2 linked regions of the Drosophila melanogaster genome follow. The protein of the gene in region 1 purifies or fractionates together with the protein of each later gene. This does not show direct contact. Each region holds a gene or a part of one and is shown in the gene's direction. Other genes may lie near its edges.

Region 1 (5,833 bases):
TAATTCAAATTGACTGAAGGTTCTCGAAAGAACGTTACTAGTTAGCTGGAAAGCAATACCCACCAGCGTTCCTCCATGCCCTCCATCTTAATATCTGGTATATTGGGTATCTTCTTGTTGAGATACTGCGATGAGATCTTCAGCAGCGACTCACTGTATGACTTCTCGACAGCGGAACGCTTGATGGTGAACTGCCGGATGTCCTCCAGGAGGTCGCATTCATGCTGATTCTTCAGCTGCAGCTTGGCCACCTGCTCCGTGTGCAAATTCTTGAGGAATTTCACATAGTTTCCCTGCAGGATTACGAGGTATACGATGAATGATTATTGTGGAACTATCTTTATCAATTCGATTTATTTATGATTTACCTTACGCGGCGGCGGCTGCATCATGGGGCTTTTTCTACGACAATCGGGTCACTCTACAATTGGCTTTTTTTTTCTATTTTAGCTCCGACTTAATGGTGTTACATTACCTCTAGCAACTGTAAATAGTATGATTGCTTTATGAGAGGATATGATATACGGGTATTAAAATACGATACGATATTTAAGATCCCATCTTATTTTTTTAATATAAAAAAATTTATATTTCAGTGGCTTAAAAGGGGAGATTTATTTTTAACGCCATGACTTATATCAAAGAATCTAACATTATCAAATTAAAGATTAGATAAAATGTAGCCCTACTGATATTTATTATATATATATATTTTCCGATTATTTTTGGCTGTGTAAATGGGTGGTGTTGGTGGTACATGTGGGTGGTTGTGTGGTCCTTAAGCCGTTAATAGGTTCGCTACGCAGCAACGGGTCTCAAAACTTATGTAACTGAAATGCAATGATAACTGACATCGAAACGCAAAGGAAATCAAGGGTTTTCTTCAAGCTCAAATCTAGTACTATTTTTAGCTGGAAATTTTCACTCGGGCAGCCCACGCAGCAGCCCCCCTTTTTTTGGGGGTATCGTATCGATTTCTCTGGCCCCGGACTAGCTTATTTTTTTTAAGCATTTACACCAACTACGTTATTCAAAACACTTGGCTAACACTTTTTTTGGACATGGCCGGTTAAGATGGTTGTTTTTCAGCTGGATTAGTACTTTTTGGGATTCTTATCGCTGGGTTTTCACTGAAATTTGTGGTCTTTTTCTGGGCAGCTAAAATCCGTTGCTTACTTATCGATTTCGATTTTCACGACGTTTGTGTGAGAACTTTTCAACATGCACCGTTAACTGCTGGTGCTGCTGCGCAAGAAGAGACCGCCAAAGAGAGCGGTGAGAGAAAGTCGAGAGAGAACGAAGTCGTGTTTCATTCATGGCCTCTAGTACCGTTAACAAAGAGGGTGAGTTTTATTGTTTTTGCCCCGTCAGCTGTTTGATAACACCTCACTTGCGTGTAACGGCACTTAAGGAAAATGAAGAAAAAAAAACTACTATAAAAATTCAACCTTTGAATGGTATGCCATTTGATCTTGACACCTGGCGTACGACAACAGCTAAAACAAAAATGTGCGTTTGCGTGAAACTACTCATATGCTGTGGCTATCAAAAACGGTTTAATTGATAACTTCAGATATTGGCCAAGAGGTTTGATAAGATTTTCGAGTCGCGCCCAGAAGTATGCATGCAATAATATAAATGCATTACGTTATCTTGAGAAAGTAGACATAAGCTTATAAATATGGCATATTGGGAACTTGATGTTTTTTTTCAAAAATTTTTAAAAATTAAATTTTAACAGGATTAGAAGATTATTTGTTTGTTATGTTTTTTTTACTTTATACATTTTTACATTCTTACATTTTACATACACATCCTCAATAATTTTTCATCACTACTCACGACAACCTATCGATAAGTTTCTATCGCTAATAGGACCAGCTGCTGACAACAAATAGGTTTCGACCTGGTATTTTAATTTAGGAATTTGTACTTTGTTGTTTTCATGTTTTCAACTTGAAAATGGCCACGAAGCTAAATGTAAATATTCGCACCCTGCTGGCCAACTGCGAGGAACTGGCCAAAAGCGAACAGAACTTCTGGAGGCTGCAGAAGTTCATTAAGTCCCTGGACACAATGCTTGCCGAGCTGGAGGCGATGGGCGATCCGCAGAGTGTCAAACGTATCCCGGGCTACTTGGAGCGCCTACAGGCCCTTAAAATATCCACCGGATATGCAGACGTTCCCGGTTCCACAACAAAGACTCCTTCACAATCCTCAGCCGTCAGCGAAACTGGGGAAAATGCACTGAAAGAAATAAGGCAGCTGCAAAACAGCAAATATCACAACGAACTGCGAAAGGAACTGCTCCAGGGTAATAAAGAATTAACAAACAGTTTTGTACATATTTTAAAATTTCTTAAATTCAAAAATGTAATAGTTCATAACTTAAAAAACATTTATTTTAGATTCCGATGCCCTGCGAAGACGTCGAGGAGCAGATGAATCCTCCTCCAGTTCTGGAAGCGCAAACGTTCAGGAAACTTCTGGTGAAAACATGAACCAGGCTGCCAAGTATTATACGAATGCCCAGGAGAAGATCACCGAGCACATGCTCTCGCTGACTCGGAACTTAAAGGAACAGACGGAGACCGCCAACAGGATTATCCGAAGAGACACGGAGGTTGTGTCGCGTTCCGCCGGAATGGCGGATCGCAATATCAATTCGCTAGGAAAAGAGGCTGAGAAACTGGAGCAACATTCGAAAAAAGCCTACAAGTGCTGGCTGTGGCTGATGATTGCCTTCGTAATTGCCACTTTTATAGGTGAGTCATTGTATTTTGTGGAAGTTTTGTTCAAGCTGCAAAAAAGAACCCCTCTTGGAAAATCCCAATTCATTTACTTAACAAATATACCTTAAGTTATCCAACTCAACAACACACATTTAAACACGTTTATAAACCAAGTTTCCTGAATATGTTAATCACAATATTATAAATATTCATTATAAGAACGAAAACAGATAAATAGATATTAGATTCCATTGCTATTATTATTGTATTTAAACTGAATACGAAAACACTGCGAGTCACTTCACTTAAGCCAAATAAACAAGTTTGCCGTGACTCAGTTTGAAATTACATTTCTTAATTGGTTCGATTTATTGCAGTTCGATTGTTGCTGCTTAATTATACTAATGAGTTTATTACCCTTTCAATTTACAGGTATGGTTTTATTCATGAAGATTATGAAGAAGAAGAAGTCGTAGAAACAATTTCCAAACTAAGCAAACTAAAGATTGTACTCTAAGCAAGCTTTAAACGCTCGTTAAGCTCCCGAGTTCAAGAGGTTATCCACCCAAATCGTGTAAGCAGAACCACATTAAACGATCGAAAGCCGCCCAGCGATTTATTTATGAATAGTTTATGTACAAGCGAAAGCGTTTAGATTATGGTTTTTGAGCATTTTTGTTTCATCATTAAGTGTCATTTGGATTCGTATCTGTATCTCTTAGCCTATTCGGCAGCGATAAGCTGCGTAATGCCGTTTGTGGTGATCAGCTGCAACAGGGATCCAGTTTTGGGCCTCTCCTGATCTTGGGTCCACTTAAGGAAAAGTCCGGCCACCTCGGTGAGCGGTGTCCAGGTTCCAAAATCTGCATCCGGCATCCATTTACGGTTCATGGGTGTATCTAGAGTTACGGGAAGTATGGACACAGCCAGGGAACCAGCTGGCAGACCGGATTTCTCAGCGCCCAGCGAGCGGGTCAGCTGGTGGACAGCTGCCTTGGCCATTCCATAGCCGATCATACCGGGTGTGCCCTCCAAAGCGGGCTTAGCTCCAGTGAGAGCCAGCAAGCCTCCGGCCTTTAGATGCTGAGCAGCCACAGCTGCCGAAATGGCGGAGGTCAACACGCTCTGCTTCCACATGAGATCGGCATTCTTGGCCAGATCCTTCTTGGCATTACCACCTGCCCAGCCGCCAGCCACGCAGATGACGGCATCCAGTTTCTCGCCGGCAAGGGATTCCCCGACTTTGGACACCACCGTTTCCTCCTGTTCCACCCAACTAGCATCGCGTGGCACCACAATGCTAACGTCGGCCTTCTCGTTCTCCGTCAGATCGATGCTGCCAACCCACTGATGGATTATCCAGGTGAAGGTCGTAGTTGACGCGAGGGAAAACAATAGATAATGAGGCAATTGTATTTAATAATTAAGTGAAAGGTAACTCACATAATTGTTGGCTTTAAAGTGATCGACACAGGCCGAACCCAAGGCTCCTTTGCCACCGTAAATAACCACTCGACCTGCGGACATGATGCGTGCTGCCAGTTTTAAAGTTGCAATTTAACTAAATGCGAGAAAAACACGAGAACACCGATTTTGGTGAGTCAAAATCGTGCGGGAGCTTTGAACGCAGCTGGGGTTTTTAACCGCAAGACCAGTTCTACCGGTAATAATCGGGAGAATGAATTTCAAGTCGAGTTTAAGCTTCAGCGTGCAGATATAGCTTTTTATTCGCTACAAAAAGATACAGCAGCAGCAACAAGTGGAAAATCAATAAGATGACCAGAAAACGCACAGCAAGGTCACACTGTCGTGAGTAAGGCGTTATTTGGTATTTTTTTTTTTTGGTATTCCACAGCTGTTCGCCGCCAACTTTACCCGTCTCGCTCACGCATTGCTCGCTGCTCTTTTTTGAAAAGGGAAATGCGTGAAATTCGTGCGCCGCATTTCCACCAGACCAGAGTTACGCGCCGTAGCTGTGTTTTCCACTCAGTCCCACCAGTCGTCGTCGCGTTACGTCATGGACACTCTAAAATATGAGCCACTTTCGAACTACAATGTAGTTCAGGCAAATAGTGAACACAGAAATAAAACTGTCTTATCTCAATTAAAGAAAAATTTCCCCGAATTGTTTAAATCACAATTAGAAAATATATGCAGCGAATATATAGATATATTTGCATTAGAATCAGAACCTATAACAGTTAATAATTTGTATAAACAACAGTTGAGATTAAAAGATGATGAGCCAGTATACACGAAAAATTATAGAAGTCCTCATAGTCAAGTGGAAGAAATACAAGCCCAAGTTCAGAAATTAATAAAAGATAAAATAGTTGAACCATCAGTTTCACAGTACAATAGCCCTTTGCTATTAGTACCCAAAAAGTCAAGCCCGAATTCTGATAAAAAGAAATGGAGATTAGTAATAGACTATCGCCAAATTAATAAGAAACTTTTAGCTGACAAATTTCCACTACCGAGAATAGATGATATTTTGGACCAACTTGGTCGAGCAAAATATTTCTCCTGCCTTGATTTAATGTCAGGTTTTCATCAAATCGAACTGGATGAAGGCTCGAGAGATATAACATCTTTCTCAACCAGCAATGGCTCATATCGTTTCACGCGATTGCCATTTGGCTTAAAAATAGCGCCTAATTCATTCCAAAGAATGATGACTATAGCATTCTCCGGAATAGAACCGTCTCAAGCATTCCTTTATATGGATGACTTAATAGTCATAGGTTGTTCCGAAAAACATATGCTTAAAAACCTCACTGAAGTTTTTGGTAAATGCAGGGAATACAACCTAAAGTTACATCCTGAAAAATGTTCATTTTTCATGCATGAAGTCACATTTTTGGGACACAAATGCACAGACAAAGGAATTTTGCCGGATGACAAAAAATATGATGTCATTCAGAACTACCCAGTTCCACATGATGCGGACAGCGCTAGACGTTTTGTAGCATTTTGCAATTACTACAGACGTTTTATCAAAAATTTCGCCGACTATTCGCGGCACATAACAAGATTATGTAAAAAGAATGTTCCATTCGAGTGGACAGATGAATGTCAAAAAGCATTCATACATTTAAAAT
Region 2 (7,837 bases), on another chromosome or scaffold:
TTTAGAACTTGTTTGTTGCCGAGCGAGAGTATCTTTATTCGAATCTGAATCTGAATGGAGCGCAGCACACGTCTGCTCACCGCCAGCGATCGACTGCGTTTAAATTTGGCACTCGCTGCCGCGACTTCGGTTCGAAAATCTCGCGATCGCCTCGAAATGCCTCGCACTCTCTGTTACTCAGCACACACACCCTGTGAATTCAGGCGGCTCTCTCGGCGCGGGCATGCCAACTATGTATGATCGGTGACCGTTATCGCAAATCAGAAATCGACAAATACCCGTACTAAAGTCAAAATCCTCGAGTGCTACATGTGTCTACCAAAAAAATGGTCAGTTTCCAAAAACCTAATCACTCTTAGGATCACCCAATTAATCACCATTAATATGTGATATTTTTGCAGTAACTAGATGTGCTTGTTGATAGTGAGGAAGCCAATCTCAAAAAAAAACCAATTGAACTAACACTTCTTACAATTTAAACTTTTAATTAGAATTTAGAATATAAAATAATATTAAGCTAATTTGGTAACAGTTTCATTTTAAATTTCAACTGTTTTAAGTGCTGTAAAGTGCATAAAGTGTTAACAGGTGGCTCCACGCACAACGCGTTAGTACCTTACCAAATAGCGTTTTCACTGCACCGCTCACCACGGCCACACTCTGCCTTTGTTTTGTTTTGATATTCCCACTGCATCGCATTTAATTTATTAAAAGCTGTTACCAAATTATGTCCTACGCCGGCTATAGCCAGCTGCCCAGCGGCAGCGACCAGGAGCGCAGGCAGGCGCAGCTCGCGGCCAGCACCTACGACGTGCTACAGCGGACGACGGACAGTATCCAGCGATCCAACCAGATTGCCATCGAAACGGAGAACATGGGGGCGGAGGTAATTACCCAGATAGTAGCCATTAACAGGGCTAACTAATGCTCGCTTACGCATCAACAGGTACTCGGCGAACTGGGCGAGCAGAGGGAGTCGCTGCTACGCACCACGCGCCGCCTGGAGGACGCCGATCAGGATCTGTCCAAATCGAGGGTCATCATTCGGAAGTTGAGCAGGGAGGTGCTCTACAACAAGATCATCCTAATCCTGATTATCATTCTGGAGGTGGGCATACTCGTCGGCTTGCTGGTGCTGAAGTTCGCTCACCTGTGAGCCAATGCCATTCTATTCCAAAGTCGTAACCACCAAACAGGCGATGGACTATATATACCTATTAATCGTTACGAATTCTTTGTCCTAGTTAATAAGCTTATAAATGTATATACTCCACTAAAATGCACTTCCAATTCAAAAAGGTCAGTTTTAGGATATACCCAGCGATGAATCGGGTGGTTGATTATGTTTATTCATGTTGGCTAAAGCGTTAATGCCTTAGACGTCTATAATATGTATTATGGTAGTAAAACACAGATAAAATCGGGTCTGGACATCGGAAGCTCTGCACTCCGAAGAGTTTAGCCCAGTCCCAACGCATATACATACGTATGCTATAACAATGATAATATGTAGTTCGTGCAGCACGCTATGCCACGACTATTTGGCAAAAAGCAACGTTAATTACATTCAGTGGGCGACAACGAGATAGTAGAACATCCTGAACAATGTCTGCATAATACTTGATCTATGATAAACGGTTACATATATGTAAGTATGTGGGCATCGCTTTGGGGATGCTTCTTTGTTCGAGAGATGTTTGGGATTTCGCAGAGCTGCGCCTCCTCATTCCTTTGGTGCAGCAGCTCTCCGCTTCAGTTGCCTTCAATTGTCCTTCGGAAGAACGATGGACCAGCCGAAAACGCGGCGATCGAAGCCGCAGGAGAAGAGATCGCAGTCCAGCAGCGGCTCCTCCGCCCACGCTACAGACGACACCATCCGTCGGTGGCCCTGCCGACTGGTCCGTGGCAATCGGGCGACTCTCTGCCCGTTCAAATCGAACAGTCGGATCTGTCGATTGTCATGCGGTATGGCGATAATTCCACCAGTGGAGACCGCCAAACGATTGACCGAGGAATCCGTTCGAATGGTGGCCAAGGCGGATCGCATGTTGCGCAGCTCCCAGACCTTGATTGTACGATCATCTGATCCGGACACCACCTTGTCGTCGCGTGCGAACACACTGGACGTAACCGTTTCCGTGTGCCCTTGGAAGACGGAGACCGCTGGGATTGCCTCTCGGAAGTCCCATAGACGGAACGTAGTGTCCCTGGAAGCGGTGACCACCAGGCGCTGGGTGGGATGTGCCGACACGTGGGTGAGCTCGTGGTCGTGCCCAGTGAGCGGCTGCAGTGGCAGGCCAGTCTCCACGTCCCACAGGATGGCAGTCCGATCCCAGCTGCCCGTGATGATTTGATCCATCGAAGAGAGCCAATCGGCGGCCACCACGACTGAAAGATGACCGCCGGGGCCTGTGAACTCGCAGAGCGGAGTGCGTAAGGTGTCCACACGATCGCGATCTTCCACCTGCTCATCACTGTCGTCCAGTTCCTCCTCTGAAGAATGGCCCTTCCTGAAAATCATGCAACGATTATTGAACTACTATAAAATATATTGCAAAGTTACTCACTTGGGCACTTCCCAGTTGACGGCCGCCTGCCAGATGTGGGCAGTACCATCCCCGCTGCCGGTGAGCACAAGATCTCGCTGCTGATGGAACTTGATGGAGTTTACGGAGCCGGCGTGCCCTTGGTACTGCAAAAGGCACCTGGCGCTCTCCACGCCCCAGATGCAGGCCGTATGATCGGCGGAGGCGGTGCCAATGATGGGTTGTCCCGCCTTGGCGGCAACCTGCCAGATGCCATCCTTGTGGCCGCCGAATTCTCGGACCACCGTGCTGACCACTGTGGGCGCCTTAAAGCTGGACACAATGCGGCTGGTTTGGGCCTTGATCTTGTTGCTGGCCTTGGCTTTGCTGCCGCCGGTAGCGCTGCTTAGTTTGGCCTTCAAGCTCTTGTGTGTACTGGATGCTGCAGCCAGGAAGCTGCCCGCCACCTCATCCGTCTGGGTTGCAGGCGTGGCCAAAGCTGCGGATGAGGCCTGAGTGCTCATTGAACCTCCTGCTGCGGATCTGGCATCGGGTGGAATCAATGACTCCTTGGTGGTGGTGGCTATGTCTAGCTTCTCCTGCACTATAACAGAGAATAGGCTTTAATCATGCGTGCACTATACAAAATTTGACATATGTAAGCAATAAATATTAAAGTTTATGAACGAGACCTTAAGGAGTTGTGGATTATATAGCTACTTACGGGCCTGGTTCTCCAGATACAGCTGCTCGAACTCCCGCTCGATCTGGGCGAAGAGGACGTGCAGGCGTGCACGGAATGGTGCATCTTCCGGTACGGCGGCCACGTCCTCCGTCAAACTGGTGAGGCGCACAGCCCGTGTCTTGCTAGCCTTCATGCTTTTCTTTTCGCCTCTTTGTTGTGTATCTCGCAAGTGATTTTCTGAGCCGAGCTGGTCGGCGATATCCGTTTCCTGGTGGGCAGAGCGCCCGGGGGAATCCAATTAGTGTTCAGGGGTTGCAGACTCGCGCTCTATTGATCCATCTTCCGCTGCTGGCGATGCATTTGCCTCTTTGGCTGACTGGGGAACTGCTGTTGCACTTGGTTTTCGCAATGATAATATACTTATTGCAGGTGTTTTTGTGCGCGGGGGGAGCGGGCGGAACAGCTGGTGTGTGTATCGAGTGTTATCGATGTGCGATTATCGCACAGTCGGACTGTGGCACACTGAGAGCAAATTGAACAAATTAAAATAAAATAATTTTGAAATTGCAGTTTACATATTAAATATATTTATATCATAAAAACGAAAAATCCTGTAAAAATTAACTGAAAATTCATTATATGTTATGAATTAGTTTAGAAAAATTTTCAACAAAAACACATCTATAAAAATGTACAATTAACAAAGTTTTTTTTTTAGTGCACTTTGGTTTGAGTACTAGTGTTGAGAAACAATTAGTTAATTTTGCTGACTTTCAAATCTGACACGTGAAGGTAAATAAATTCAAATAGAAATGTAACTATGGATCAGCGCTTTCCTGTAATTATTTATTAGGGTTGATTATCTTGTATAACCCTTTGAAACGGAAGCATTATCCTTAATCAACACTGTGTACTTGAACAGCTGTTTGGCCCGTAGTTGTAGGTACTATTTTTGAAAACACCATTGGGAGTTCCCACAAGACAAACAAATCCGTGCACCGTTGTATTGGATTCCAATCGAACAGCTGACATACCTTCGGGCCCGTTAGTTTTCCCGATCGCCCTGCATATGATACCATATCTCCCATTACAGCGCTGCAGCCCAATCAAACCGGTTTGTCGCCTTTCGACTTTTCGGTGGTCTCAGTTCACATCCATTTCCCCAACCAGTCCAATTGCTTTTATCTTGCTCCTCGAGTGTTAACGAAATTGCTTAAATCCACCCACATTCATCCTTTCATTCAGTTCGGCCTGGGAGTAGCAGCATGAAAAACGTTTTGGATGTCATGTCGATGCAGCAGCACGTGGAGTTGAACAAGGCGCAGACCATGAAGCCCATCGACTATCGGTAAGTTGAATGATCCAATCTAAAGATACCACCAATATATACATATCTGTGCCATCTGTGCCGCAGCAAAATGAACAAACCCGGCGTGGTGCCGATGTACATCTTTGAGTGCGCTGCCAAGTTGAAAATGAAACCGCTGACGGCGGCCTGTGCGGCCATAGTGTTCCATCGCTTCTTCCGCGAGGTCAAGGCCAGCGACTACGATGAGTTCGTGAGTAATATATGCCCCCAAAACGACCCCATCTCATGAGAAACTTTCTGGAATCCACAGCTCATTGCCGCGGGCTCGCTGTACTTGGCTGGCAAAATTAAGGAAGACGAAAGTGTCAAGATACGCGATGTCATCAACGTGGCATACTGCACCCTTAACCGGGGCAATGATCCAGTCGACCTGAACGATGAGTACTGGTCGATGCGGGATGCCATTGTCCAGGCTGAGCTGCTCATCACGCGCACCCTGTGCTTCGATCTCAACATAGATCTGGCCCACAAGTACTTACTCCACTACATGAAGACCCTACAAGACTGGGTGGGCACTGAGGTGTGGAACTCGGTGCCCATTGCCAAGGCAGCCGCCTCGTATCTGCAAGACTTTCACCACAGCGCCAATATCCTCAAGTACAAGCCCACCCATGTGGCCATTGGGTGCCTGTCGCTGGCCCTCCAGACCTACGGCATCCAGGTGCCGCTAACCGACGAGTCCGACGAATCCGCCATGTGGTACAAGCCCTTGGTCAAGGACTTCACCCGAGAGAACCAGTGGGAGATCATCGAGAACGTGATCGAGGTCTACAAGAACGAGGGCTTCCTGAATGCCACCTAATCGCTGAGAGAGACTGCCAAAACCATTCCTTCTGCCATCTGAACTTATTTATTTTCCCCTCGCCACCTCATAAACCAATCTCAGATACTACTAGACGTACATATGCTCAAATGTCCAATGCATTTACATCATGCCCTTGCCAAAACAAATAAATTGACCGGTAATGAAATGCTTATGTGATCGACGGGCGAAAGTACATTTACCTATCAGCGAAGACGATAGATCTAAAGTTTACAACTTATTTATACACTGATTCAATAAACAATTGTTCTGTGAAAAATGATATTGTTAATGGGTCTTTGGAGTTGTGAAATGCTTTAAGATTCTGAGGAAAAGCAAAAAGGTGTTTGGCGCTTTTATTTCAATCAAATTCATTATACTTTTAAGCTGTTAAAAGTTTTACAAAAAAATATTACACTTTATCAAACAAATTTAAATAAATCGCTCTGTATTTGATTAAATTCCGGGATGGGTGGCAACCCTTAGCCCCAGCCCAGCAGTGTTGACTAACGCAGGCATGTACAAAAACAATGCTAGTTCGTAAACAAAACATATTTTTTATACATTACTTGGCCAGAGCGAAAAAACAAGGACAATATGCGTAAGACGTGGGTGAAGCGAGAGAATATATACTTCAAGCCCTTCTACAAGCAGAAGTCGAAGATGTTCCTGCTGCTGATCTTCCTGGTCGGAATTTCGTTCATCGCGTATCAGGTGAGAGTCTCGCAAGGATTTTCCTGTGCACGGTGTTTAATGTGTAAACAATAACGATAGGCCTTCTCGCTGAACCAGCTGCCCGGAGTGCCTGCTCCGTGGAATCTGCAGCAGATCAAGCGCAAGCACCAGCAGATGATGCAGTCCCTGGGCAGCAAACAGCGCGACGTGGACGATTTCGATGGCGGAGGCGCCGATGCAGTTGCTCCGGCAGGCGGGGAAACCTCACCTGTTGCGGGTCACGAGGATCCCATCAAGATTGTCAGGTGTGTAGTAGATGCATTGTTGCTGGCTTGGGAAAATTCCTCATCCTCGTCTTTATCCTTTAGGGGCACACGGCTCTTCGACTACGACGCCTACAAGCCCAACTTCGAGGGCAAGTTCCGGTGTCTGGACGGCTCCAAAGAGATCCCGTTCGACCACCTGAACGACAACTACTGCGACTGTGAGGAGGACGGCAGCGACGAGCCCAGCACGAATGCCTGCGCCAAGGGGCGATTCTACTGTCGCTACCAGAAGCGTCACATCACGGGCCGGGGCCTGGATATCTACGTGGCCAGCAGCCGCATTAATGACCACGTGTGCGACTGCTGCGACGGCAGCGATGAGTGGAGCACGGCGACCAAGTGTCCCAACGACTGTGCGTAGTCGCAGGCCGACGGGACCCCGTTCCCACTCCCATTCCTCTTCCATCTCCTCCACCTGTGCACCTAGGACACCAATCTCAAGGATGAAGATGTCGGGCGGCGCATCACAAGCGATATTTTTTGTACGAGTACAATAGAATTGTAATTTATTTTAAAATAAGTAGATTGAATAAAAGAAACGAATTCCAAGAAACACAATGTGGCCTGTTCCAGTTTTCACATTCAAAGAATCTGATGGATTTAATGTGTACAATTTGTTTAAAACTATGTTTAATTTGGTGCCAGAGGAGCAGCTGCAAGATTAGATCTTTGTGGACATGTGAAAAAAAGAAGCTGCCATTTTATCCATATATGCTTATTCATTTTATTACCAGACTCACAAAAATCAGTAGAATTTACATTGGGAATTCCTTTTTTGTTTTGTTTTCTTTTTTTTGCTCGACTTTCTCTGCGCGATTTTTGGTTTCGAATTCGCAGCGTTTTCATTTATAATGTTCAATTTACATCTACGACCGTCTGTAATTTTAGTTAATATGGTTCTTCTTGCCTAAAAATGTTTTGTGCAGTTTAATCCGTAAAATGTACATCGACAAACTCTAAAGCAATTTTGAACTGCAAATTCTACAAGGTACGAAATTTTGTGTGTAATTAATTTTTCCCTTATATGCACAGTACGTCTCACTGGATTTTCTCTTGGTTTGCTTTCTTGGCTGGCTTTCTTGTCTTGTTTTGGATGATAAGCGGAAGCGGTAATGATCTCCACATCGATATACATAATTAGTTTAAGGAACGCGCGCCATCGCATTTACAATTACTTCTCGGATCTGAATTGGCAAAATTCACTTTATTCACTTGCATTTGCATTGAGTACTTCTTCTTTGACTTGCCCAGCACAATCAGAGAAAACTACGTCGTCTATGCCTGGACGAGCTGATTGCTATATTGCTATCGACGCTCTCGTCTCACAAATTTGATACTTTGCCCCCAGTTTGCGATGGAAACTGGGGATCAACCTAAGTAAAGTACATTTGTTGTTGTGGCTTGCTTTTTGCCAGTTGCAACTTAAAGTTAGCTTACGTACGCTAAGTAATACTT

What was found. Proteins that work in one complex are often made in the same cells at the same time.
Region 2: the proteins of Use1 (region 1) and koko purify together in Drosophila melanogaster (affinity purification with mass spectrometry, with the first as the bait; one large-scale study listed by BioGRID). This does not show direct contact.

The regions. Positions count from the first base shown.
Region 1 is NT_037436.4:9,133,233-9,139,065, reverse strand, and holds Use1 (unconventional SNARE in the ER 1), read left to right. Parts: upstream 1-1,884; 5' UTR 1,885-1,962; coding exon 1,963-2,314; intron 2,315-2,408; coding exon 2,409-2,765; intron 2,766-3,149; exon of another isoform or gene 3,150-3,164; coding exon 3,165-3,208; 3' UTR 3,209-3,357; downstream 3,358-5,833. Other genes in the region: nwk (nervous wreck), read right to left, coding at 64-293, 369-389; Dhpr (dihydropteridine reductase), read right to left, coding at 3,456-4,079, 4,176-4,259. UniProt on the Drosophila melanogaster protein: SNARE that may be involved in targeting and fusion of Golgi-derived retrograde transport vesicles with the ER. Required for protein secretion.
Region 2 is NT_033777.3:18,399,065-18,406,901, forward strand, and holds koko (kokopelli), read left to right. Parts: upstream 1-3,961; 5' UTR 3,962-4,002; intron 4,003-4,158; exon of another isoform or gene 4,159-4,455; 5' UTR 4,456-4,475; coding exon 4,476-4,558; intron 4,559-4,624; coding exon 4,625-4,769; intron 4,770-4,829; coding exon 4,830-5,381; 3' UTR 5,382-5,662; downstream 5,663-7,837. Other genes in the region: Vti1b (vesicle transport through interaction with t-SNAREs 1b), read left to right, coding at 728-886, 947-1,156; Wdr37 (WD repeat domain 37), read right to left, coding at 1,763-2,510, 2,568-3,129, 3,250-3,403; CG7685 (uncharacterized protein), read left to right, coding at 5,979-6,095, 6,156-6,361, 6,425-6,743.